5 linked regions of the Oryctolagus cuniculus genome follow. The protein of the gene in region 2 interacts with the protein of the main gene of each other region in a pairwise test. Links are inferred from orthologs where the notes say so. Each region holds a gene or a part of one and is shown on either strand. Other genes may lie near its edges. The genes, in order: LRIF1, GADD45G, AFAP1L1, ARPC5L and TSNAX.

Region 1 (4,973 bases), on a different chromosome or scaffold from region 2:
TGGCACAATGTTTTCATAAATAAAACATCACTCCTCATTGTAAGGCTTGACCTAATTTTAAAAAAGATCGATTGATTTATTTGAAAGGCACAGCAAGAAAGAGAAAGAGACAGAGATCTTTAATCCGCTGGTTCACTCCCAAATGGCCTCAACAGCCAGGTCTGGGCCAAGCCAAAGTCAGCAACCAGAAATTTCATCATGGTCTCCCACACAACTTGCAGGGTCCCAAGTACTTGGGCCATCTTCTGCTGCTTTCCCAAGCACGTTAGTAGGAAGCTGTTCTGGAAGCAGAGCAGCTGGGACTCAAACTGCACTCCGATATGGGATGCCGGCATCACAAGTAGCAGCTTAACCCCTAACCCACTATCATAAAGTCTGTCATGGGAATATCCCATATCCCACTCTTCAATCTCCCTATATAGCAGTCTATCATGTACACAGAAAGCACTCAATGTAATTCTAAATAAACCAAATGCATACTACCACAATTATCTTCCAGATTTTTCATTTTTTTGAGGATTAGATTTTATGCTGATGAATCTGATACTTCAAATAATAAACATTCTATATATTAGTCACTTTCAGTTATAAAGAAAGTAAATCATTTAGTACCATCAAAAGTATTAAGCAAAATAAGAAAAAAAGTTTTCAATAAAATAAAAGAGATGCCCTTAATCACACTATTTACAAAACTATATTAGGAGGTCATACAGGTTGTTATTTACAAAACTGATCAGACCCAAAGATGCACCCAATAACGAAAACGTGAAGCAGCTTCAGAAAGGTATCTGGTAAATATTCCAAATACATGAAGTAAAACTTCAGTGATTTAAAGAAATAAATGCCCTTAAAGATAACCAACAACGCAAGAATCAATGAGTTACAACGCATGAATCAATGAGTTATAGATCATGAAAACAATGCATGAATAAATGACTTAATGAACTTGAAGGGACTATGAATGTAACCAAAACATAATTCAATTAGTCATTTTTAAAGTATCCCAAAATAACCAAACGCACCACCAACTGTGTAAGAGTTAAAGTACCCATAAATACCTTCATTATAGCTCATCTTATTTATGACAGTGGGAAAGAACACAATCCTAAAACTAATCACCTGTGAATCACATTGTTACATGTCATCAAATACGCAGAGTAAAACAAGGTAGGAAAAATTAAACTCCCCCCAAAAATCCTACCCTTCGTTTTTATACATCGCACTATCTTTGCCTCTTCCCCCAAAACTTCATCACAATATTTTAAAAAAAGGAAAAATTAAACGACCCCCAAAACTCTACCCTTCGTTTTTATGCAGTGCACTATCTCTGCCTCTTCCCCCAAACTTCATCACAATAAAAAAAAAAAAAAAAAAACATACAAAAACCAAAAACATGAACACAAAAGCTGGCTTTTTGCACGATTTGCAATTCAATGGTTCTCTCTTGTGGGTTCTTCAGTATTGTTTTAGCACACTGCTATTAGTGATCCTTTCCTTTTATAACACCGTGCATTCTTCTGAAGAATCGCCAATTACTTCTTTAGGCAATCAGGTTTTCTATCTATTGGTAATTAAAGAAAATCTACTTCCTGAGCTAAAATGCGTACGGAACTAAAATTGTGCACTTACAGTATTAATAGCTAACACTGAAATAGTCCTTTTTCCGCACGAAGTGCTTTATACGTATTCATTCTTTTAATCCTTAAAAATATCTTTAGGCGCTATTATTTAGACTGGCAATTTTTTCCCCTCACAAATACCTGGCAAAACTAGGGTTAACTTGAGTAGCCTGATTTTCTTCAAACACAAATCTCCTAAGTTTCGCATCTTGAATTTCCATGTTCTATTCATTTCTTTCTGCAGACCCATTAACAGTTCTCTCAACACCTATAAAAACGTCCACTGACCATTAAGAATACAAAATACTCTGCCTCCGCTAATACTTTACTTCATCTTGATTAATTCAAGCTGTTGGAAAAATTCTCCAGGTACTGATAACCGATTTTATAAATTTGTAAGAAAAGTTGTCTTTCTACGTAATACTGGGATCGCCTTCCGTCAAACACAAGTTCCTCTATGGAGCCTTCCAATGAGCTGGCACTCTCATTACACCTGCTGTTCGACAGGGCTACCTCCACACAAGAATTTATGTTTCCACTCTTCTCTCTTCGATAGAAGGCTACTAGAAATTTTAAAATATTCACTTCCCCTTTTCTAGAACATTTCTCTTCAATCTTAACGTCTTTGCTCACTAGCGCTAGAAAAACGTGGCTACTTTCTTTGAAGGTCCAGCGCCACCAGGCTTGTACTAAGTCGCGCCGATTCCTGCGTGTTTTTCTGCCTACGCACGAGAATCTTCCAGAAGGTTTTGGTCATTTGGAGGAAAAAAAAAAAAAAAAAAAAAAAGGCGGCGTCGGCCGGCCATGTTGGTTTTCCGCTCCCGTGGAGATCTACTCGGTCCGCCTATGAAACTTGAGACGCCGGAGTCCTGCGACTGCGTCAGACTCGGAGGAGGTTTTGCGCTTCCGAGAGGCGCCCGCGCCGAGGACTCTAACGCCGGGCGTCCCGCCGGGGTGGCGCACCCTGGGGGCCCGACTCCTCTCGCCACCGCGGAGCGTCAGGAAACGGAGGCCGCCTCACGTCCTGCTAGGAGACGCGGCGGGCGTGCGGCGGTTTCGGACGCGGTACTTACCAATGTGAGGCGTTGCCTGAATTCTCCTCAGCGGGTTTGAGCACGACCCTCCGGAGATTATTGGACATTTTTGAGGGGTGGGAGGGGGCAGCGCATCCAGGGAAATGGGGGCGTGTGGGGCCGAGGTTCTCGGAAGGGCGAGAACTAGAGCGAGAATGTTGGGCTCAAGAAGTTGCCTGGCAGAGAGGGTTCCACGAGAAACGGAGGGCGACCACAGCCTCTTGAGAGGATGCGAATCCACCCAGAAGCCGGAAGACTCCCGGCGGTGACGGCGCGCGCTCGGCGCTGCGAGTCTGCCCTAGGCTCCGCCCCCCCGAGCCGCTGACAGCGCTCCCGAGCCAGCCGGAGCGGGCGCGAGAGGCGTGCCCCTCATGGCGCCGCCCCCAGCAAGGCTGACTCAGGGGAGAAGACTGCCGCCCGCTTAGCTCTGCCGACCCCGCCCACCGAGCTTCGAGCGGAGAGAGCCTTCCGCTGTCGTCACGTCCGGTCGCCAACGTGACTGGCTCGCGGGAGCTCCGCCCTCCTAGGACGACCCAATCGCAAGTGATATTGCTCTCTTCTTCCGGATCAAGGAACGAATCGCGAAAGAAAGTTCTTCAAACACCTACGCGAAATAAAATGCTTCCGGGGTCAGTAGTAAATTTTCTGCCGTTGTGTTCGCCGCTGGTGTAATGTTCCTGCTCCACCACAGCCTTAAGGAACGGCAGCGGGCTGTTTTGCAGTCGTCGTATGCTTGTTGATAGTGATACATTATCGCCAGTCTCTGAATGTCCCTTGTTCCTCTTTTTGAAGCTTTGCTTCGAAGTCTGTTAACCCTTGCTTCTACCCCAACATTCTTGTCTCAGTCAAAACTTAGTGTCATACACTTAATTCCCGAATTCTCTAAAAGTTTCGTTCTCTAGGTAAACTTTTTTAGCTACTTTGTTTTTATGTATAGGGAAAACATTTTCAAAAGTATCTCTTTTTGTCTCCCCCATCCAAAGAAACCTTTTATTTAAGGAATACAAACCGTACATTTCATAAATAGAACTTTAGGAATATAGTGTTTCCTCCCAGCATACCCATTCCCCCAACCCACACGCCCACTCCTTCTCTTCCTCCCTCTCCTATTCCCAGCCCCATTCTCCACTAAAATCCATCTTCAATTAACTTTATACACAGAAGATCAACTCTATTCAAAGAGTTCCACACTTTGCAGGGAAAACAAAAAAATACTGTTCCTCACCAGAGGAGACAAGGGCTATTCAAAGTCATTGCATCTTGAAGTTAATTTCACTTTTTTTTTTTTTGAAACTTAATTACCTTTAAAGAAGTACCCAAGAATGAAGCATCCTTTGTGGGAACTTAGACATCATATAGCTCTTTGAGGATAGAGTCATGCATGGGGAGTTAGTGCACAGTGACTCCTGTTGTTAACAATTAACATTCTTAAGTGTGACGGCAGTGATCACCTGATGCTCTTGAGCTGCCTAGGCTATGGAAGCCTTTTGAATCCACAAACTCTGTCAGTATTTAGACAAAGCCATAAGCAGAGTGGAAGTTCTCTCCTTCCTTCATTGAAAAGTGTGATGTCCACTTCTTTCCAATAGAGTCTCACCCACTGAGGTCCTTCATGTAAGACATTTTTTTTTTTTTTTTTGCCACACTGTCTTGGCTTTCCATGCCTGAAACACTTATTTTTAGTTTGATTTTATATACAGAGGACCAACTCCATGTTAAGCACAGATTTCAACAGTTTGCACCCACACACACACATGACATATGAGTACAGTTTGGGAACAAAATTTGCAGTTGATTCTCATAGTACAACTCATTAAGGATGGAGGTACTACATGGGGTGTAAGTGCACAGTGACTTCTGTTGTTCCTTGAATAATTAACACTCATTAATGACGTCAGTGATCACCCGAGGTTCCTGCCATGGGCTACCAAGGCTATGGAAGCCTTTTGTGACTCCATTGGTATTTGGACATGGGCATAAGCAAAGTGGATGTTCTCCCTTTAGAGAAGAGTACATTCTTGAGTACATGACCCTTGCTTTCCACAGAGATCCTCCGTGTAGGATATTTTTGCCACAGAGTCATGGCTTTTCATCCCTGAAATGCTCTCACAGGCCTTTCTGCCAGACCAGAAAGCCTTAAGGGCTGGTTCTGATGTCAGAGTGATATTTATGGTGAATGTCATTCTAGGAGTCTGCTGTGTGGACTGCTTCCCATATTGGACTTTCCTTCCTTTTTAATTCTATTTTTATTACCAGGCACTTTATGTTATTTATATGATCA
Region 2 (4,048 bases):
GCGCTGATGTGGGCTGAGAACTTTCCAAATAGCCGACAGCTGATGCAGTCGGCAGATCGGAATTGCTCACCCCTATTTATACACACACACACACACACACACACACACACACACACGCCGCCTTCCGATTTCTGCTGGGATCCTGGAAGTTCTAGCCCAGCCGTGATGGGAGACTGACTCATCCTTCAGCACTCACCAGTGTCACGGTTGATATTAATACCTTTGTAACACTGCTTTGTGTCCCAGCATTTCATAGGAGAAACATCCTGCCTGCCATCGCGCTCTGGGACCACAAAGGGCTGGGGCTGTAGCAGGCAATGCCATTGTGCACGAAGGGGCTGCCTGCCTCCTGCAAGCTGTTCAGATAAGCAGCTGTCCGGGGTGGGGGAGGGGAGGGAGGTGGAGGTCACTGTTATCCGATAGGATGGCGAGCCCTGAGCTGCTGCAGGGATGCCTGTTCTCAAGTCTGCCCCTCGCTTGCAAGTTCTATAATCTGTCCAAAAGCAGAGACCTGGGAGCCTCGCTCAGGCTGTGCCCTCACACCCAGCAGCCTCCCCTCCCCCCGCGGCCAGCACCAGGAGCCTGTCATTCTCGCCCGACAGGAAGACGGGAACAGGTGCCATCCGCGCCAAGCAGTTCCAGCTGGCCACCTCCCCGAGCAAGGGTCCCCACCCTCAGTAAAAGCACAGGAGTCTGTTTCAAGGGGTTTATTGTAAGACATCCTCCGGAAGACGAAGCATTGCCCGGATCCGTTTCTGAGAAGGCAGCGCAGTCTGCTAAGTCCCACAGGCTCCTGCAGCCCGACCAAGTCCAGGCCGTCTCGCCCGCGCTCTCCTCCTGCTGAGTCACGCTGGCCCGGCCGGTCTGTGTCCTTCCCGGCCCTGCGGCCAACGTCCCCGCCTCGGCCTTCCTGGGCGAGCAGCCGCTCCGGACACTCGCGGTGCGCAGCGTCCTCGGCTCCAGCCAGCCTGCCCCGCCGCCGCCGCCGCCACAGCCGCCGCCGGGCCCCCGCTGGGGGGGCCGCGCCTCCGCGCCCGCCAGACGCCCCGCCTGCCAGTCTCCACGCCGTGCTCTGGCACCCTCCGAGGGCCCCTCCACAGCCAGCCGCGCGCTAGGCGCCCCGGGACGTCACCACGTCGATCAGACCAAGGTCCCCGCCGGGCTGTCACTCGGGGAGGGTTATGCTGGGCACCCAGTCGTTGACGCTGCGGCTCTCCTCGCAGAACAGGCTGAGTTTCTCCAAGGCAGGGTCTTTCCACGCGTCCTCATTGGGGTTCTAAGGAGAGGGGAGAGCGCAAGCGTCAGCCAGCCTGGCCGACCGCGCCGGGGTGAGGGGAGGCGCTGGGGGAGCGGGGCGACACTCACCGAGATGAGAATGCAGTGCAGGTCGCCCGGCGCGCCCGCCTCCTCGCCGGCACCCACGATCGCGGCCAGCCGCTGCACGTCGCCCACGCGCACGATATCGATGGCGTTCTCGCAGCAGAACGCCTGGATCAGCGTGAAGTGGATCTGCAGCGCGATGTCGCCCTCGTCCTCCTCGTCGGCGGCCAGCACGCAGAAGGTCACATTGTCGGGGTCCCTGCGCAGGAGGAGTTCCCGAGGTCAGAGCCCCGCGGGCCGGTGGCTCCCCGCCGCCGCCGCCGCCTCCGCCGCCGCCGCCGGTCGCCCCCGCCCGGGCCGCGTCTATACTCACACGTTCAGGACTTTGGCGGACTCGTAGACGCCGGCGGTGAGACAGCCCTGGCGCTGCGCCGACAGCAGCAGCTCGTGCAGCGCTTTCCCGGCGCCCTGCATCCTGCGGACGAGCCAGCACCGTCAGTGGAGCCAGCCGAGGCGCCGCAATCCGTACCCCGTCTCCTCCCCGGTCCCGAGTGTGCACCCCCGGCTCCCCAGCCTGAACCAAGGCGCCCACACCCCAAGGCCCCTGCTCCGGCAAGCTTCCTGCACCCCAGCTTCCCGATCCTCCTGAAGCTCTCCAATCCGGAGCCTACATCCCCCGGAGGCTCGCCACCCGGCAAGGCGCCTGCCACCCACCCCTGCGCCCCGGGCCCATCGGCACCGACGGTGCTCGGCTCCCAGCCCAGCAGACAAGTCGCGCACGGGGAGACCCACCTGGCTGTGCTTTCCGGAACCGTGTCCTGGCCGCGGACTTCTTCCAGAGTCATGGTGCGGTGGCCGAGCAGCAAGTTATCCAAGAGCCGTACGCGCGTAGGACTGGCAGCTGAGCCGCGCACCCGCTCCCGCCCGCCCGGCGCGCCCACAGCCAGCGACTGCGCCCGGGCGGCGCGGCGAGCCCTTATATAGGCCGGCGGGCGCGGCGCCGCCAGCTGGCGCGAAGCTGCGTGCCCATTGGCCGGCTCCCGCTTTCTGATGCAAATGAGCGGCGGGCCGGCGGCTCGTGCCAGAAGGCCACGTGGGGAGGGGTGCGGGGGATGACAATGCCTCAAATCTGCCGCTTTTGTCGGAGTGTTACCAGGCAGACTGGAGCCTGCAGATTTCATCTCGCCTCCTTTTTTTTTTAAGTCCTTAAAAGGAAAAAGTTAAAAAAAAAAAAAGTGCTAACGCGAATACGATGCTGCAATTTGTGAAATGCACCTTTGAAGATTCTAAAAGAATTTTCTTTGCATTTATTCTTATTGCTACCTATTTTTTTCTTTTATTTTGAAGTTTGTGAGGCTGTTGTATTGACCCTGGAAATTAAAGCAAAAACACGCAGCGCCACTTTTGGGGGGGAGGGGGGTTGCAAAAGGCACAGGCTCCCGCCGCTGACTCTGCAGCCCGCAGCGCGGCCGGCCACGCCGGCCAAGCCTGCTCCAGGACCTTCGGGGTCGCACCCGCAGGCCGCCTCCCCGCCCGTGGCCCTGCGCGGCGGGGCGCCGGCGGGGGCGCGAGCAGCTTGCGGCCGGCGCACGCGGCTCCTTTGCATTTCTATGGAAGGCGCACAATAGCAGGGGTCTGGCGTGTGGCGGTTTGTAGAGGGGACAATCGGGGCTTTCTCTTCATAGCAGCACTGTCCACCTGCCGCAGCCCGTGGCGCGCCCCCTGCGCCGGCCCCTGGGCGTAATCCCACCCCGCCGGCGCCTGGGCCGCGTGCCGAGCCCCTCGCGCGAGCTGGAAAGGCCGCGGGGCTGCTGCACGCAGACCTCGCGGCTCTGGCTCGGGTTTGGGGAGCGCGGCTTGGGAATTCCCCCTCCCGGGGCGCCACCTACAGGACACACAGAACCGCGGGCCACACACGCACCCGCCCCTGACCGCGGCCAAGCTGCGCCGCAGTGGAGACAGAACAAAGCGTGCCGCACGCACCCGGGTGGGGCTTGGAGACTGGGGGCGAAGGGGGCCTCCTGGGGAGAACTGACTGAGTTCAGAGCCCGTGTGGCTCTGGCTGGGTTGAAACAGCCGGGAGGACTTGACCGTGCGTCTGTAACAAGCCTGGGTTCCAACGAGGGGATAGGGAGACCGGAAGTGCTCTTGGGAGAGCGTTGCAGGCTGCAGCTTGCAGCTATGGGCCCTATGGGACTCGCAGGTCTGCGGCTGGCGGTGCTGCGCGCCCCGGGACGCACACCCGGGCTCCTCCTTTCCGGCCGGGGCGCTGGGCGGGGTCCCTGGGGAAAACAGCCTGGTGGCTCCGTGCTTTGCCTTCGGGCTCTTTTTCAGGCCGGCGGTACTGCGGGCTCCCGGACTTAGGAACGCCGAGCCTTGCTGCCGGCGCCCTGGAGCCGGGCACGCTTGGCAGCCTAGGGCCGGGCGAGGCGCTGGCGTTCCCCGGCGGAGGCGCGCTGCAGCCGCCGGCTCCCTGGGTTCCAGGGCGTGTGCGTTCGCCCTGGAACGTCTCTGAAACCCGGAGGGCTGCCTCACCCCGACTGCGAAGGGGGTGGGGGAGGCGGGGGGGGGGCAGCTTGGACTCGCTCCTTTTGCTGCCATTTCCTTTCCTTCCTCCTTGGTGGTCTCCACAATGACTGAATGCCTGGGTTGGATGAGATGTGTCCATTTTTAAGTGATTGAGACTTTAAGTGTTGCCCTTTTGAAAGCCATGAGCATTTCTTAAAAT
Region 3 (4,253 bases), on a different chromosome or scaffold from region 2:
CACCCAACCAGCTATGCTTCTACAGCTGGTGGTGATACAGCTGGGACTTGAATCTGGTTCCTGTAATGCCCAAGGCCATGGGCCAGCCTCACGCCCATTTGATGCTCAAGACTGTCAGAGCCTACAGTCCTGGAGCCTACAGTCCTGGGCAGGTGGGCAGAGCCCAGGCCACTGCTCCAGGACTCCTCCACCTTTGCTTATTCCATCCCCAGCTGCCGTTGATCCCCGGTTCTCTCCTATAGCGAGCTCCTCCTTGCTGGAAGGGGAAGGCATCTTTCTAGCTTCCCAAGGAAGCACCGTCCTCCTCAGCTCTTCCTCCCCTTCCTCCCAGTTCCCCAGGATGGACTCTGAGCCTCTGAGACAGAGCAGAGACACGAGGGGCCCTGGCCAGGTGTGGTAGCCCAGGGGTCTCTTACAGGAAGGAGTTGCGCCCAGCACTGACGATGCTGGTTAAGGTCTCTACATCCACGTAGTCATAGTGCAGTGCCTCAGGTGTGACTTTGGAGCCCATCTCTACCAGCAGCAGCCCCAGCCAGCGACCCATGTCCTCTGAACAGTTTGCCTGCAGAAGAAGCACAGGGGGAGTCCATTTTGGCACTGCCAGTGCATCTGGCTCCCTGCTTATTCCAGCCAAAGCCACAAATATTTCTAAGTATCTACTGCACATGCAATACTTACAGATCACAGAGGAATGAGATGAGAATACACACTCAGAAATCCAAGAGGCTGCCCTCTTCGCTCTAGGTATCTGCCATGTCTTCAGAGAGGCCTTCCTGGACTATCTCTCTAAGATAACATGACTTCACTCTGTAGCCCAGGTCCTCTGAACCACTTGTTTGTATTCAGATGTTACCTGAACTATGGCTTGACTATTTGTTCCCCCAAAACTTGGGAGTTTGGTCCCCAAACTCCTGTTTATGGTTCTAAGAGGATGGAAATGAAATGTAATTTTGCTGTTGGGAGCTAGGGCTTTGCAGAGTGACTGGGTTGGATTAAGTCATTGGGTGGAGTGTCCATGACTGAATCCTGGTGGTTTTATAAGAGATCACATAGATACAGACAGGTGCATGTTCCCTGTCTCTTACCATGTGATTCCCTGTACAGGAGTCTGCCAGCAGGAAAGCTACCACCAGTGATGGAGCCAGTGGGACCACCTGATTTTGAACTGCTAACCTCCAGAACTGTAAGCCAAAGAAAACCTTTTGTCTTTATAAATCAGTTGCCTCAGGAATTTCCTTATAGTAATAAAAACAAATACCCTGACTTTTTCTAAAAAAGTATTTTTATTAGACTATTTCTCATACAATGCCATTAATTTTCCTTTGTATTATAATTGACAATATTTATAGCATTGTATACAGCAAAGTGTCCAAAAACAACTCATACTTAATGTAAATTCTCATTTAGAGACTATTATTGTAAAGTTAATTTAACACTCAAATGCCAAAACTGAATAAAGGAGCTACATTTTTTTCTAGAAAGCTTGAAGTGTAAATTAAGAGAGAATAAGAGACTCAAACTAGCAAAAAATGGAAGCAAGTTCCAGAGGAAGCAATGGTTGGGTTGTGGGCAAAGGCAATGGGAGCAGGAGGCTGGGTTCAAGGTCTAGGAAGAGACAAAGCACTTGTCTGCCCTGGCCTGAGTTTCCCTATCTGTAATGTGAGAAGGTGGTTAAGTTGTTCTCCACTGTTGACTCTCAATAGCCAGAGGACTGCCATGTGGAAGAGACTTTGAATGCCTCCTGCATGATTTCGGAGAAGGTAGGAGGGATAATGAATGACAGACGTGAAGCCACATTTCATTCCCTCATTTGTTCTATAAGTGTTTGTTAAGAGCCTACATTATGTGTTTGTGCACATGATATCTGGCAGGGTTCTAGAAAAATGAAAGTATGCCAACCCCTTGAAAAAGTATGCATAATGATTGCTTTGATGGAGCTTTTAGACTTTAGCTCAGTATGGGGAAATCTTGCTACACAGTCTGAGTTGTTTGATGGGACAGGCATACTACCTTCAAGGGGAGTGGTTCAGCAGAGTGGTTCAGCAGAGGTGGCTGAACCCTGGGGGGATGTTCCTGGGGTCAGGTCCCAGTTAGATTAGACCAGGTGCCTTTCATTTTAAGATCAGGGGCATAAACAAGCTTTGATTTTAGGGCTGGCAGTTTGAGTTAATAACAAATGCAGAATGCTCTGTTAAGTTTGAATTTCAGGTCGACAATGAATAATCTTTGAGTTTAGGTATGTCCCAAATCTTGCATGGGTATATTTGTGTAAAAAACATCATTCATTGTATACTTGAAATTCAGACTGATTTGGGTGTCCTGGATGTTATCTGGCTACCCTGCCAGGTCACTCAACAGCCCCTAGGCTTGCCTTTCTTTCCCCCTAGTCCCTGCCGTGTTAATAGCAAGTATCCCCTCCAAAAAAAAAAAAAAAAAAAAAAAGAGAGACACCCAGGCCAGAGTCCATTACCAAGAGCGTCCTGGACCCTCCTCTCACCTCCAAGATGGCCACCTCCTGTCGGTTGCGCAGGATCCTGAAGGCAAAGGGGTGTCTGGGCCCAAAGCCTGGGGCCACCTCGCAGCCGCAGAGGGCGATGGCATTCACATGAGTGCGCAGGTCGTTGCGGTCCTTGTGGAAATACAGTGTGCCGTGCTGGAGGCGGCACCAGCGTTCCTTCCAGCCCTGGCTCACCAGCACGTTCAGGTAGCCTGGCAGGGGAGAGGGTGGTGTGATGCAGGCCAGGTGCATGGTTCACACATGGGAGAGAACACCAGGACATGCCCAGCCTGCAGCTGGAGAGAAGGCATCTGGGCCTTTCCGGTTGGTGATCTTGGGTATCTCGTGATGAGTGTCCACTAAGTAGCTGGGATATGGGCAGTGATATCCCTGTCCATATACACCTGCATGGTCTTGGGGCCACATGAAGGTCAGCGGCAAGGGCAGGAACTACCAACACATTGTCCTTCCTGCCTTTCCTCACCTTAAAATAAAACTGTCACTAAAAGCTGGACAATAATGGCAGATGGTGACACCTGGTGGCAGCGTGTGGGAACAGGAACATCTAGCTGAGGGAAACCATTAGAAGACAGAGCAAGGCATAAGCACAGTACAGCAGGTGATGAATTAGAATTTCTTCTTATTGTTTTAGGCTTTAATCTTTTTACACTGACATGCCATTATTCCCTGATGACAAAATTTTTATTTGAGGCTACAGGTTTTTATAATTTTTTTTCAGGGCCAGTAGAATATTACTGCCTATTTAAAACACTGGTATGACTTTCTACTGAATTCCAGTATATGGAATCCTTCATTTAATAAAATGTGTCCCACCTCCAAGCCACTTTTAACTCAAACTGAATGCACTTACCTACTTATATCCAGACATTTCTATCTAAGACTGGATGTAAATTGTAGGCCTGGCATGTTATCGGCTGGGAAATAAGGTAAAGGTCTGTACTTTCCTCTTATTACAGTGGGGGAAACTGAGACAGCGAAGTGCAGAGATAGACAGGGATTTGGGGTAAGGTCACAGGAGCACAGGAATATGGGCATCAGCTGGCTATTCCTTTTGCTGAGCATTGTGGGAGAGGTAATGGGGCCAGGATGGTGATTGACATGTTGATTGTTGACAAATTAGTGTTAAGCCATCCATTGGCCTGGGATTCTCTCTTCTGCCATGGGTGTGAGGTGGATGAGGCATGGCAGGGCTCCTGGCTTCAGCCTCAAGACCCCATGTCCACTAGGCCAGACCTCCCTCCTCCCCATGGCCCACACCCACCACAGCATGGAACCTCCTCGGCAGAGGGTGTTTGCGGGTCATCAGCCAGGGCCTTCTTCTTGGAGAAGCTGATGATGCGGGTGATCTTGCGGCCTGCAGCCCTGCTCATGGAGCCCTTCAGCTCCGCCAGGCTACTCTTCTTTCCTTTGCCTGTTGTACAGAGATGCATCAGGAAAGTGGGGAGCCCCAGATCCCACTTTCACCCAACCCTGGACTTCCCTGTTGCCCCCGTGGTGACTGGTCTGTGGCTCCAAGTATGCCAGGCTGGATCATCTTACCCAGGTCTCCAAACTGGTCAGCATCTGCTTTGCCATTGTGTCCCCTCCCAGCTCTGGTATCCCCCATCCTGAGCCCGTAGATTCCTACCATGTTCACATGCCTCCCGACGGCCAAGGGTGGAACAGTTGTCACCTGTGCTCAAGCTATCCGAGTCTGAGGTCTGCTTCTCTTGGGACAGCCTCTGGAGTAGGACAC
Region 4 (3,680 bases), about 90 Mb from region 2:
TGATCTCACTCAGTGTTGTAAATAGGATGGTACTCCTGAGACTGCTATAGAAAACTCACTTGTGGTGCAATACACTTTTTGATTAAAGCGCTTCAATTCCGATGCAGTTGCCGGGGGTTTTCCTGGATGGTTTGCTGTCTCAGTGCTTGTTTGCCTGGTTTGCTGCTAGTACATTGTCTCTTGTTTCCAGTACTTCAAGGGCTACAGAACTGTCTTTCAGAAAGAACCCCTCCCCACTCAGCCAGGTTTGGGTGAACGTGTAATTTAATGCAGCCAGCAGCCTAGTCCTACCGCCCAAAGACCACAGTCATTCTACAAAGCGGGGAGGGGTGGGGTGCTTTGGTCAGAGGAGCTTGCAGAGGCATTCGGGTCCCTACCTCTGACAGCGCAGAGCTCTCCCGTGAGCTGGAAAAGAGGGCTTGCTGTGAGTGGTTACATCACCTCCTTCGCACCCACTGGCTGTTCCCTGTGCCCGGCTTTTAGTTCTTTTAAGAACCCTTGTCCGGGCAGGAGCTTGGGACCCCACATCCCACAGTAGATCCCATAGTGCCTGGGTTTGAATCCCAGCTCCGCTACCAGTTCTGGCTTCCTGCTGTGCACACCCTGGGAGGCGGAAGCGATGCTGAACAGTTGTTGAGTCCTGGCCACCCCCGTGGGGGCCTGCATTGAGCTTGGGCCCACGGCAGGACTTGGGAGTGAAGCAGCAAATGGAAGCTCTCATTCAGCTTCTTTCTCCCTCTCAAATAAATACTTAAAGAAAAGAAAACCTGCTGATGCTTCACGCTGCTGCTGCACCCAGCAGAGCCGGAGCTGGGAACCAGGGGTGTTCAGGCCCACCCTCAGCGCAGACCAAGTGTAGTCACAGACTGAAGACCTGACTGATCATCAAATGCCTGGCTCTGCATTCGCTTAAGTGAGCTCCAGAGTGACACCCAGGTCAAAGGAGTGAGGAACAACAGTTACTGAGCAAACCTCTCAGCCGAGGCTCGCAGCGGCCAAGCAGGGACACTCTCGAGCCCGTCCAGAGTTCCTGGAACAGCCAAACTCTCTCGTTCCCATCCCATCCCACCCTACCTTTCAGAGACAAGACACCGCGATGTGTATACTAAGAAGCCAAGAGCTTTATTGATGCAGCAGGCACTTTACAACGAACCCGAGAGCCCACCTTCCCGGGAGGTCAGGGGTCTGTACAAACTCGGGTTTTCCCACAAGCTGTCCCTTTCACCACAGCCCTTGGGTCTGCACCTGCCCAAACCATCCCTCCCCCAGCCTCAGCCAGCAGCACGCACAGCTCCACCTGACCAGTGCTGGCCAGCCTCTCTGTCCGGTCCCAGTGCCCGTTCTGCAGTACTGTGTAGACGAAGGCAAAAGAGACGATCAGGTCCTGCAGAGGATTTGGGAAACAGACGATTTCTCCCTCCACCTTGAAAATAAAATACACTTCAGCGGCCACGAGTCCTGGAAGAGTCGAGTCGGGCGCTCCTAGGAAGGTGGTCCATTGTCAGTCCCTTCTGCACCGGCCTGGGCATCCAAAGTTCTCGAGGTAACAAGTCCTTTGACTTTTAAACAGTCTTTCTTGCTGTAAGAACTCTAATAATGGAGCCTAGTCCTCCTACTGCTAAGGCCTGCGGAGCAGGAAAAGGAAATGTGTCAGGTGAGACCTGGCTGGCCACGACGGGCCCACGCCCCCCAGCCTGACCGCATGTGCCGACCCTCGGAGAAAGGACTCCTGCGACGTGACCACCGCCTCCGGCAGCAGGAGTGGCCCGGGCCCAGGCACCGTGCACGCCCGGCAGAGCCACAGTTCCTCTCTCAGCAAGTCCCTCGCTTCCAGGCTGCCAGCGCTGCCCGAGGCACAGGAACGCACACCGGCCCACTGGAGTGGCCTCCACACCGCGCAGGGGGACTGCTCGCCCCGCCCCCAGCGCCTGACCCCTGTCAAGGGGGCATGCGGGGCAGGGCAGTGGGCACGCAGGCCTGACGGAAGGCACCCAGGTGAAGAGCGGCAGGCGGACGAGGCCATGGTAAATGACTGTCGTGTTTGCTGCCCACTGCACGCTCTGGCCTGCTGAGGCCGGGGCCAGAAGCCCTCCAAGCTGGCGAGGAGGCTCAGCCTTCATCCTAGGACCACCCCACTCACCCAGCAGTTGACTCCACCAATGCAAAGAAAGTACCATGACGCGCCAGCCAGCCAGGAAGCATCCCTGCCACTCCACACCACGCCTGGTCACCTGCACCCATGGCACACAGCAAGGGCCCCCTGTCCTGCCTGGCACAAAGCAGCAGCTATAAAGTGAGTGTACCAGAGACAGCAGAGCCCGACCAGGTGCTTCCCTGGGAGGGGGAGGGGACCAAGGGTCCCAAGTGGAGGCTTGGCCCCGGCTCTCGCAGGGCGCCTGCTGAAGCCCGGGGTGAGGCAGGGGCTGGGCACGGGGCCGGCATGTCCACGTACCTTTTCATGCCACTGAAGCAGCACTGCACTGCTGTTTTCCGTGGGCTTCTCAAACCCTTTATAAATGTACTTCATTAACAAGTCGATGCCGTTTCTGTCCAGAGACTGCACCGCCTGCTCAATTTCGCTGCTTTTGAAGTTAGTGAGCACCTTCAGCACCACGCCCTGGGCTCGCTCCTGCAGAGGAAAGAGCGCGCGTGAGGCCCAGAGCCACAGCCGGGCCCATCCTTGCCCCACTGTAGGCACAAGTGGGAGGAGCTCGCCAGAAGCACTGCCCAGTTTCTAACTCGATCTAGGATCAGACAGCTTTTTAAAAAAAGTGGGCTAAGATTCTCCCACTGGCTCAGAGTACGCAGTACTGCCTGTCGATGACCGAGTAACTGAGTTCCTCCACTTCCCATGGAGGAGGTGCTTTCCTGGGCAGGCGCCAGCAAGGCGCGAGGCCCCACAGGATCGGACGGTGGAGGAGGAGGTGCCCCTTCGAGAACACAGGCTGACTCGCTGCGGCCCCCGTCAAGACCCACGTCCCGGCATCGAGGAGGCCGCAGCCAGCAGTGTAATCTGTCCTCTTTCCAGGCCGTGTGAACAGGACTCTGAGAAGCCGTAAATTCCCTGTGCATTCAGAGCCCACAGAAGCAGAACAGGGCCAAGTCCCCGGAGGGAGGCCCTCGGGAGCTGCACACACTGACGGGGCCCTGCCCCGCCCCTTTACCTTCACAGCCTGGTTCTTGGTGTTGACCGGAGAGTTCCGCAAGGCGGCGTGGAACGCCCGAAGCATGTCCCCTGTGCACCAGCATCCGTTAAGGTCAGCCAGGCCAAGCGTGTCCGCGCGCACCGTGGGCCCAATCCGAACCGCTCCGGGGCGCTTCACGAGGATCCCGAGGCCCAGCTGCTTCACAGCCTGGAGCTGCCTGAGCCCCAGGCAGCGCCTCTCTGCCTCCCCACAAAGCAGCTGCCCCTAAGGGCCAACTGCAGTGAGGTCCCAGGGGCCCCGCCCAGCGCCCCACCTGCCCCCACCGGGCACTCACAGGCCTCTCTCATCTCTCTACAAAGGGAAGCAGGAAGGCACAACCGGAAGTCTCCTAATTCTTCACGGATGCTTTGTATCAATTCCACTACTAAAGGAATGAAGAGACACTAACGCTTCTCTCTTCCAGGAGCTACCGTGGCCAGAGAGGTCCGACTGCCAGTCTGTGAGAACCCTCGGCCCACAGAGGAGCCACTCTGC
Region 5 (5,013 bases), on a different chromosome or scaffold from region 2:
AAAAGCTCCTGGCTCCTGGCTCCAGCCTGGCTCAGCTCCAGCCATCACATCCATTTGGGGAGTGAAACAGATGTCCTCTCTAACTCTGTCCTTCAAATAAACTTAAAAAAAAAAAGAAAAGAAAAGAAAAGGAGAAGGAAAAAACCCTTAACTTTCTTAATACTTACTTATTTTCTCAAGCATTTTTACTCTAAAGGTTCAGCAAGCTGCCTGGCCTATGAGGAGGCAAAAATGTATTCTACACAAATTTTTAAAAAGAGGATTTAATTAAGCTATTAACTAACTTAGTAGCTGACAAAGATGTCAACATATCTGGTTCTTCAACACCCAGGTAATAATTAGCCAGGATTTTGCCTTATAGTTAAAGATAATGAACATGAACCTGTTTCACTATTTATTATAAATACTTTAATGAGCAGAGTCAGATACTATGATTACAAAAGACAGAATTCCTTGTCGCCAAAAAGCTCATTCCAGTACAAGACACAGGGACATAAACAAATTAAATAAAATACAACCATAATTAATATGTGTAAAGGGTTTAGGAAAGAACCACACTCTTCTTGTTCTCCATTAACACAGGCTAGAACATAGCAGATACTTAAATATTTCATTACCAGGTGGATGTATATGAATGAATGTGAGTCTATCACCAAGGCTGCTTGGGAGAAAAATCAGAAAGGCTTCAAAGCTAATAACCTAAGTTAGATCTTGGGGGGAAAAAAAGAAGAATTCACTAGATGGGTAGTGGGGACATCAAATCAGAAGCAATTCCAGGCTAAAGGGATCAGAAACATAAGATAAATATGCATGAAAACAACCACCGTGTCAAGGAAGTGTGAAAGGCTGGGAATATCCAACCCACTAGTTTTTTCACTCAGTATGTGGCTCTGTCAATATGCTCTTGACTCAATTACAGCTAGCTGTAGCAAGCGCTGGGGGCCGGTGCTGTGGTGCAGTAGGTTAATCCTCTGCCTGCAGCACTGGCATCCCAAATGGGCACCCGTTCTAGTCCCGGCTGCTGCTCTTCCCATCCAGCTCCCTGCTAATGTGCCTAGGAAAGCAGTGGAAGATGTCCCAAGTGCTTGGGCCCCTGCACCCGCATGGGATACCAGGAAGAAGTTCCTGGCTTCAGATTGGCGCAGCTCCAGCTGTAGCAGCCATTTGGGGAGTGAACCAACAGAAGGAAGACCTTTCTCTGTCTCTCTCCCTCTCACTGTCTGTAACTCTACCTCTCAAATAAATAAATAAAATCTTTTTTAAAAAAAAAAAAAAGAGCTCTGAAGATTACTGTGGTTTTAAAATAGGCCTATAAATTATTTGGCACTCTACTTCAAAAGGTGGTACCCAATACTCTTCCCCTTAAAAATAAGGCATCAATTTTAAAATGCCTTTGCTGTAACAAATACATTAAGGCAAAAGTGAGAGCTAAAACTGCCTGAGATTAAGACATAAAGGGGGTTGGGGCAGCACTGTGGGCTAAGCCTCAGACTAGGGCACCAGCAAACCATATGGGCACTGGTTCAAGTCCCGCTGCTCCTCTTCCAATCCAGCTCTCTGCTATGGCCTGGGAAAGCAGTGGAAGATGGCCCAAGTCCTTGGGTCTCTGCACTCACGTGGGAGACCTGGAAGAAGCTCCTGGCTCTTGGCTTTGGATCAGCTTAGCTCTGGCCATTGTGGCTATTTGGGAGTGAACCAGCGGATGGAAGTCCTGTTTCTCTTTGTCTCTCCTCTCTATCTCAAATAAATAAATAAAATCTCTCTCTCTCAAAAAAAAAAAAAAAAAAAGGTAATGCATGGAACTTAGGAAAAAAAAGACAAAGGGATTGTGGTTTCCTCCTTGCTCTGTAAGATAGACATCATAGATGAAGCCACTGGGGCAGCACCATGGAGAGGCCCCCAGGGAAAGAGCAGTGAGGGGAGGTAAGAAGGCCGACAAGAGCTGTGGATCCTCCATCTCCAATCACAATTTCAGATGACTGCAAATGAAGTCAGAAGGAGCCAGATAAGCCCCTCCTAGATTCATGAACCACGAGACTGTAAGGCCTAGGTAAGTGGAGAGAGGACAGTGGAATGAGGATTTTTTGTTTTGCAATCAGCAGCAAACTGACAGCCAGTATGTTGAGAAAAGGGCAAGTGCACCTAAATGAGAAGATATGAGATCACGGCAACTTTCAAGTATGTGGCATTGCTACTATTAACTGACGTTCACCGTTACTGAGGTAATGTTCACATGTTTACTAACGTGGTTGTTTACACTAATGGGGCATAAATGCCGAGGCCTTTGAAATTCAGACTTTTCAGAACTGGCACTCTCACAAAACCTCTGGAAAAAATTAAATGTCACCTCTACACACCTTAAATTTTTAGGGGTTGTTTTCTCGTGCACAATATGGCAAGAATAATTTCTGTTACAGCCTTTAGTTCTCTCCCCATCACCAACTGACATTACAGAGAACTTACATTTGAAGGCCAACATCACAGGTGAAGAAGAGTTAACATCCTTCCCTTCTCTTCTCTGGTTATGTGGGAAATTGTCGTGCTTCCTTTTCCTGAACCCTCCTGATCCTTATGCAGAAAAGAAGAAAAAAAGTGGATAGGGATCTTCCATCACCAAGAGTCTGCGAAACAACACAGGCAACCCCCTTTCTTCCTTTAAAACCAGATACCCACAACGGCTTTTCTCAGCAGACTGACGCAAAACAGCCCGCCCCCCCCCCCCCCCAACCATCCAGGCTTTCACCACAGAGGGCCTAGATCTGGCACAGGTGCAGCAACCATCAAACAAGGCGAAAATTACTGCTCGAAGACTTAAGAAACCGAGAGGCGTACACACAGCGGCCAACCCGGCCAAGGACAGAAGCAGAAGAGCCGCTTTCCAATCCCCCCGCCCCCGGCTTCCCCGAGCGTGCTAGGAAGAGGACATCCTTCAACCGCGAGAGAAGGGTGAGCTCGCACAGGCTGGAGAACCACCCCTGGGGATACACTACACCCCGTTCTGCTGAGGACGCCACCTTCTTTGTTGCTCATGTCGTCACGGCCTACGATAAGACCAGCGAAGACTTGAAGGCCTTGGAGGAGCCGATTGCGCAAGGTGCGGGGCCCCGGCGGCCCACCCAGCCCAGGAAAGGAGCTTGCAGGGCCACCCTACGCAGCCAGACCGACGTCGACGCACCGGCCGGAAGCGCGCGCCCGTAACCTCCCGGGCCGCGCCCTTCGCCCCTCGCGTACTTCCGGTTTGCACGCTCGCCTTCGGCCCCGCCCCTCCTACGGTCCGGGGACCTCGCGTCCGCGAGATGTCGCACCTGCCTCATGCTGTGCCTGAAAGCAGAAGCGAGTCTACGCATCTCACGGACGCACACTCCGGGAGGTGAGATCTGTGTGCAGGTGGGCCAGCGGCGGAAAATGTTCGTGATTGTTTTCTCAAGGCACCTTCGAAACCCTCCCCAGCGCTGAGCGTGGGCCCAACTTGGCGCGCGGTGCACTGTGGGAGTTGTAGTTCGCTCGAGGGGGGCGGCCCTGCGGCACTGCCCGCGGTGCTGGTGAGGAAGGCGGCGGGGCGGCAGCTCGCCCGAGCCGGTACGGAGTTCTGTGGAGCGAGGCGGAACCTGCAGAGCTAGATACTAAACTCTCTGTTAAGTAGTGAAATATGCGGATGGATCAGTGGGTGTGTTGCTAGTGTTATCTCTGACGGGAGCAAAGCCCGCCTATCGGTCCTCCTTCCATCTTTTTCTTCCTCTCGTAGCTTCCTTAAATTTTTCGTGGCCCTCAGGCGCTAGACTGCTTGAGCTTAAAGTTGTCCTGGCCCCCGACTGGTTGTGTGACCTTGAGGAAGCCTTGGTTAGTCTCGGTTTCTTTATCTGTATCACAGGGGTGGGAGTTCACCTTAGGGCTCAGAAGGTGAGCTTGGATACTTCTCGCACCGTAGCTCTTTAAGAGAAGGGTTAGTAGTAAGAACAGATATGCACCACTGAGTTGTGAGCCTTTTATTATGGGCTTGTAGTACGATATCGTAACTAGGCCTCGTGACCCTCTAATCGTCCAGCGTGCTCATTCTTGGTACCGTGCCCTGACCGCTTGGAAGCCTCTTTCAATGTTTGTTGAACAATGATGTTCGCATCATCAAGATGGGCAACCAAGTGGCAGTTCATCACTTTTTAGTGATAAACTCAAGCCAAGGCTTAGTGAGTTGGGTGGCCTAGGCCCAGTAGGGAAGATACTGTAGGTATTATTATGCTTTCTTCAAATAGTCTCCAAATTGTAGGCCTGTATTGTATAAATTTCCTCTGTAGGGCTGAAGGGGCAGTAAACGAAATAACCTGGCTAGACTGGCAGTAGCTTGAAGGCCATGACAAGAGTGTCCTAGGAAGATTTTCTGCTCTAGGGGATCACTATAAAGAGTACTCAAACTCTAAAACAAGAGAGTAACCACCACCCATCTTTCCTTGACAACTCTGAATATATGAATTGATAAGCCAAATTCCTTGTGGATAAAGATGGTTCCTGGGGGCTTTGGGCCACTACCTGGTGACATTTTCATCCTCAAGGATTATAAATTTTCCAAGAGGTTCTGGTCCTATCCTATATTCAAATGACAGACCAAGTAAGGCAAAGATAGTTCCTGACATGATCAGTTTATTGGAAGGCATACAAAAGCAAATTAAGGAAAAATTAGGAATACATGAAAACAGTGAAAAATAGATTTTAAAAAAATTACTCAGAACACAGAGTGCTAGTAATAAATAACATGCCTCCATAGAAGAAATTTTCCAAATGAATGATTGGGAAGACACATCAAATTGATACTTAAGGATTGTGAACGCATCAAGCCATCAGCAGTGACGCAAAGGGCTTTTCATCCTAGCAGAGCCTCTGGCAGCTGATGCCCTTTCACAATGAATTCTCACCAGGAGTGGAATCACAGTGAGATGTGTCTCAAGTAGCAGTTTGAAGCTGTGTCTATTGCCCCAGAAGGTATATTAACTTCTGAATGTCAGCCTTGGAGGAGAGAAG

The links.
Region 1: the proteins of GADD45G (region 2) and LRIF1 interact in binary tests that used the Homo sapiens proteins (3 or more experiments, as listed by UniProt). The link is inferred for Oryctolagus cuniculus from reciprocal best matches to the Homo sapiens genes GADD45G and LRIF1.
Region 3: the proteins of GADD45G (region 2) and AFAP1L1 interact in binary tests that used the Homo sapiens proteins (3 or more experiments, as listed by UniProt). The two-hybrid records come from large-scale screens. The link is inferred for Oryctolagus cuniculus from reciprocal best matches to the Homo sapiens genes GADD45G and AFAP1L1.
Region 4: the proteins of GADD45G (region 2) and ARPC5L interact in binary tests that used the Homo sapiens proteins (3 or more experiments, as listed by UniProt). The link is inferred for Oryctolagus cuniculus from reciprocal best matches to the Homo sapiens genes GADD45G and ARPC5L.
Region 5: the proteins of GADD45G (region 2) and TSNAX interact in binary tests that used the Homo sapiens proteins (3 or more experiments, as listed by UniProt). The two-hybrid records come from large-scale screens. The link is inferred for Oryctolagus cuniculus from reciprocal best matches to the Homo sapiens genes GADD45G and TSNAX.

What each region holds. Positions count from the first base shown.
Region 1 is NC_091438.1:59,372,549-59,377,521, reverse strand, and holds the start of LRIF1 (ligand-dependent nuclear receptor-interacting factor 1), read right to left. Parts: upstream 3,160-4,973; 5' UTR 2,761-3,159; coding exon 2,693-2,760; intron 1-2,692. UniProt on the Homo sapiens protein: Together with SMCHD1, involved in chromosome X inactivation in females by promoting the compaction of heterochromatin.
Region 2 is NC_091432.1:138,326,272-138,330,319, reverse strand, and holds GADD45G (growth arrest and DNA damage-inducible protein GADD45 gamma), read right to left. Parts: upstream 2,284-4,048; 5' UTR 2,166-2,283; coding exon 2,113-2,165; intron 1,796-2,112; coding exon 1,694-1,795; intron 1,580-1,693; coding exon 1,366-1,579; intron 1,277-1,365; coding exon 1,166-1,276; 3' UTR 693-1,165; downstream 1-692. UniProt on the Homo sapiens protein: Involved in the regulation of growth and apoptosis. Mediates activation of stress-responsive MTK1/MEKK4 MAPKKK.
Region 3 is NC_091437.1:36,694,349-36,698,601, reverse strand, and holds part of AFAP1L1 (actin filament-associated protein 1-like 1), read right to left. Parts: intron 4,240-4,253; coding exon 4,146-4,239; intron 3,930-4,145; coding exon 3,780-3,929; intron 2,710-3,779; coding exon 2,498-2,709; intron 563-2,497; coding exon 417-562; intron 1-416. UniProt on the Homo sapiens protein: May be involved in podosome and invadosome formation.
Region 4 is NC_091432.1:228,724,892-228,728,571, reverse strand, and holds the end of ARPC5L (actin-related protein 2/3 complex subunit 5-like protein), read right to left. Parts: intron 3,238-3,680; coding exon 3,165-3,237; intron 2,630-3,164; coding exon 2,453-2,629; intron 2,270-2,452; exon of another isoform or gene 2,175-2,269; intron 1,626-2,174; coding exon 1,563-1,625; 3' UTR 1,100-1,562; downstream 1-1,099. UniProt on the Homo sapiens protein: May function as component of the Arp2/3 complex which is involved in regulation of actin polymerization and together with an activating nucleation-promoting factor (NPF) mediates the formation of branched actin networks.
Region 5 is NC_091444.1:51,050,042-51,055,054, reverse strand, and holds the start of TSNAX (translin-associated protein X), read right to left. Parts: upstream 3,206-5,013; 5' UTR 3,031-3,205; coding exon 3,015-3,030; exon of another isoform or gene 2,569-3,014; coding exon 2,464-2,568; exon of another isoform or gene 1-2,463.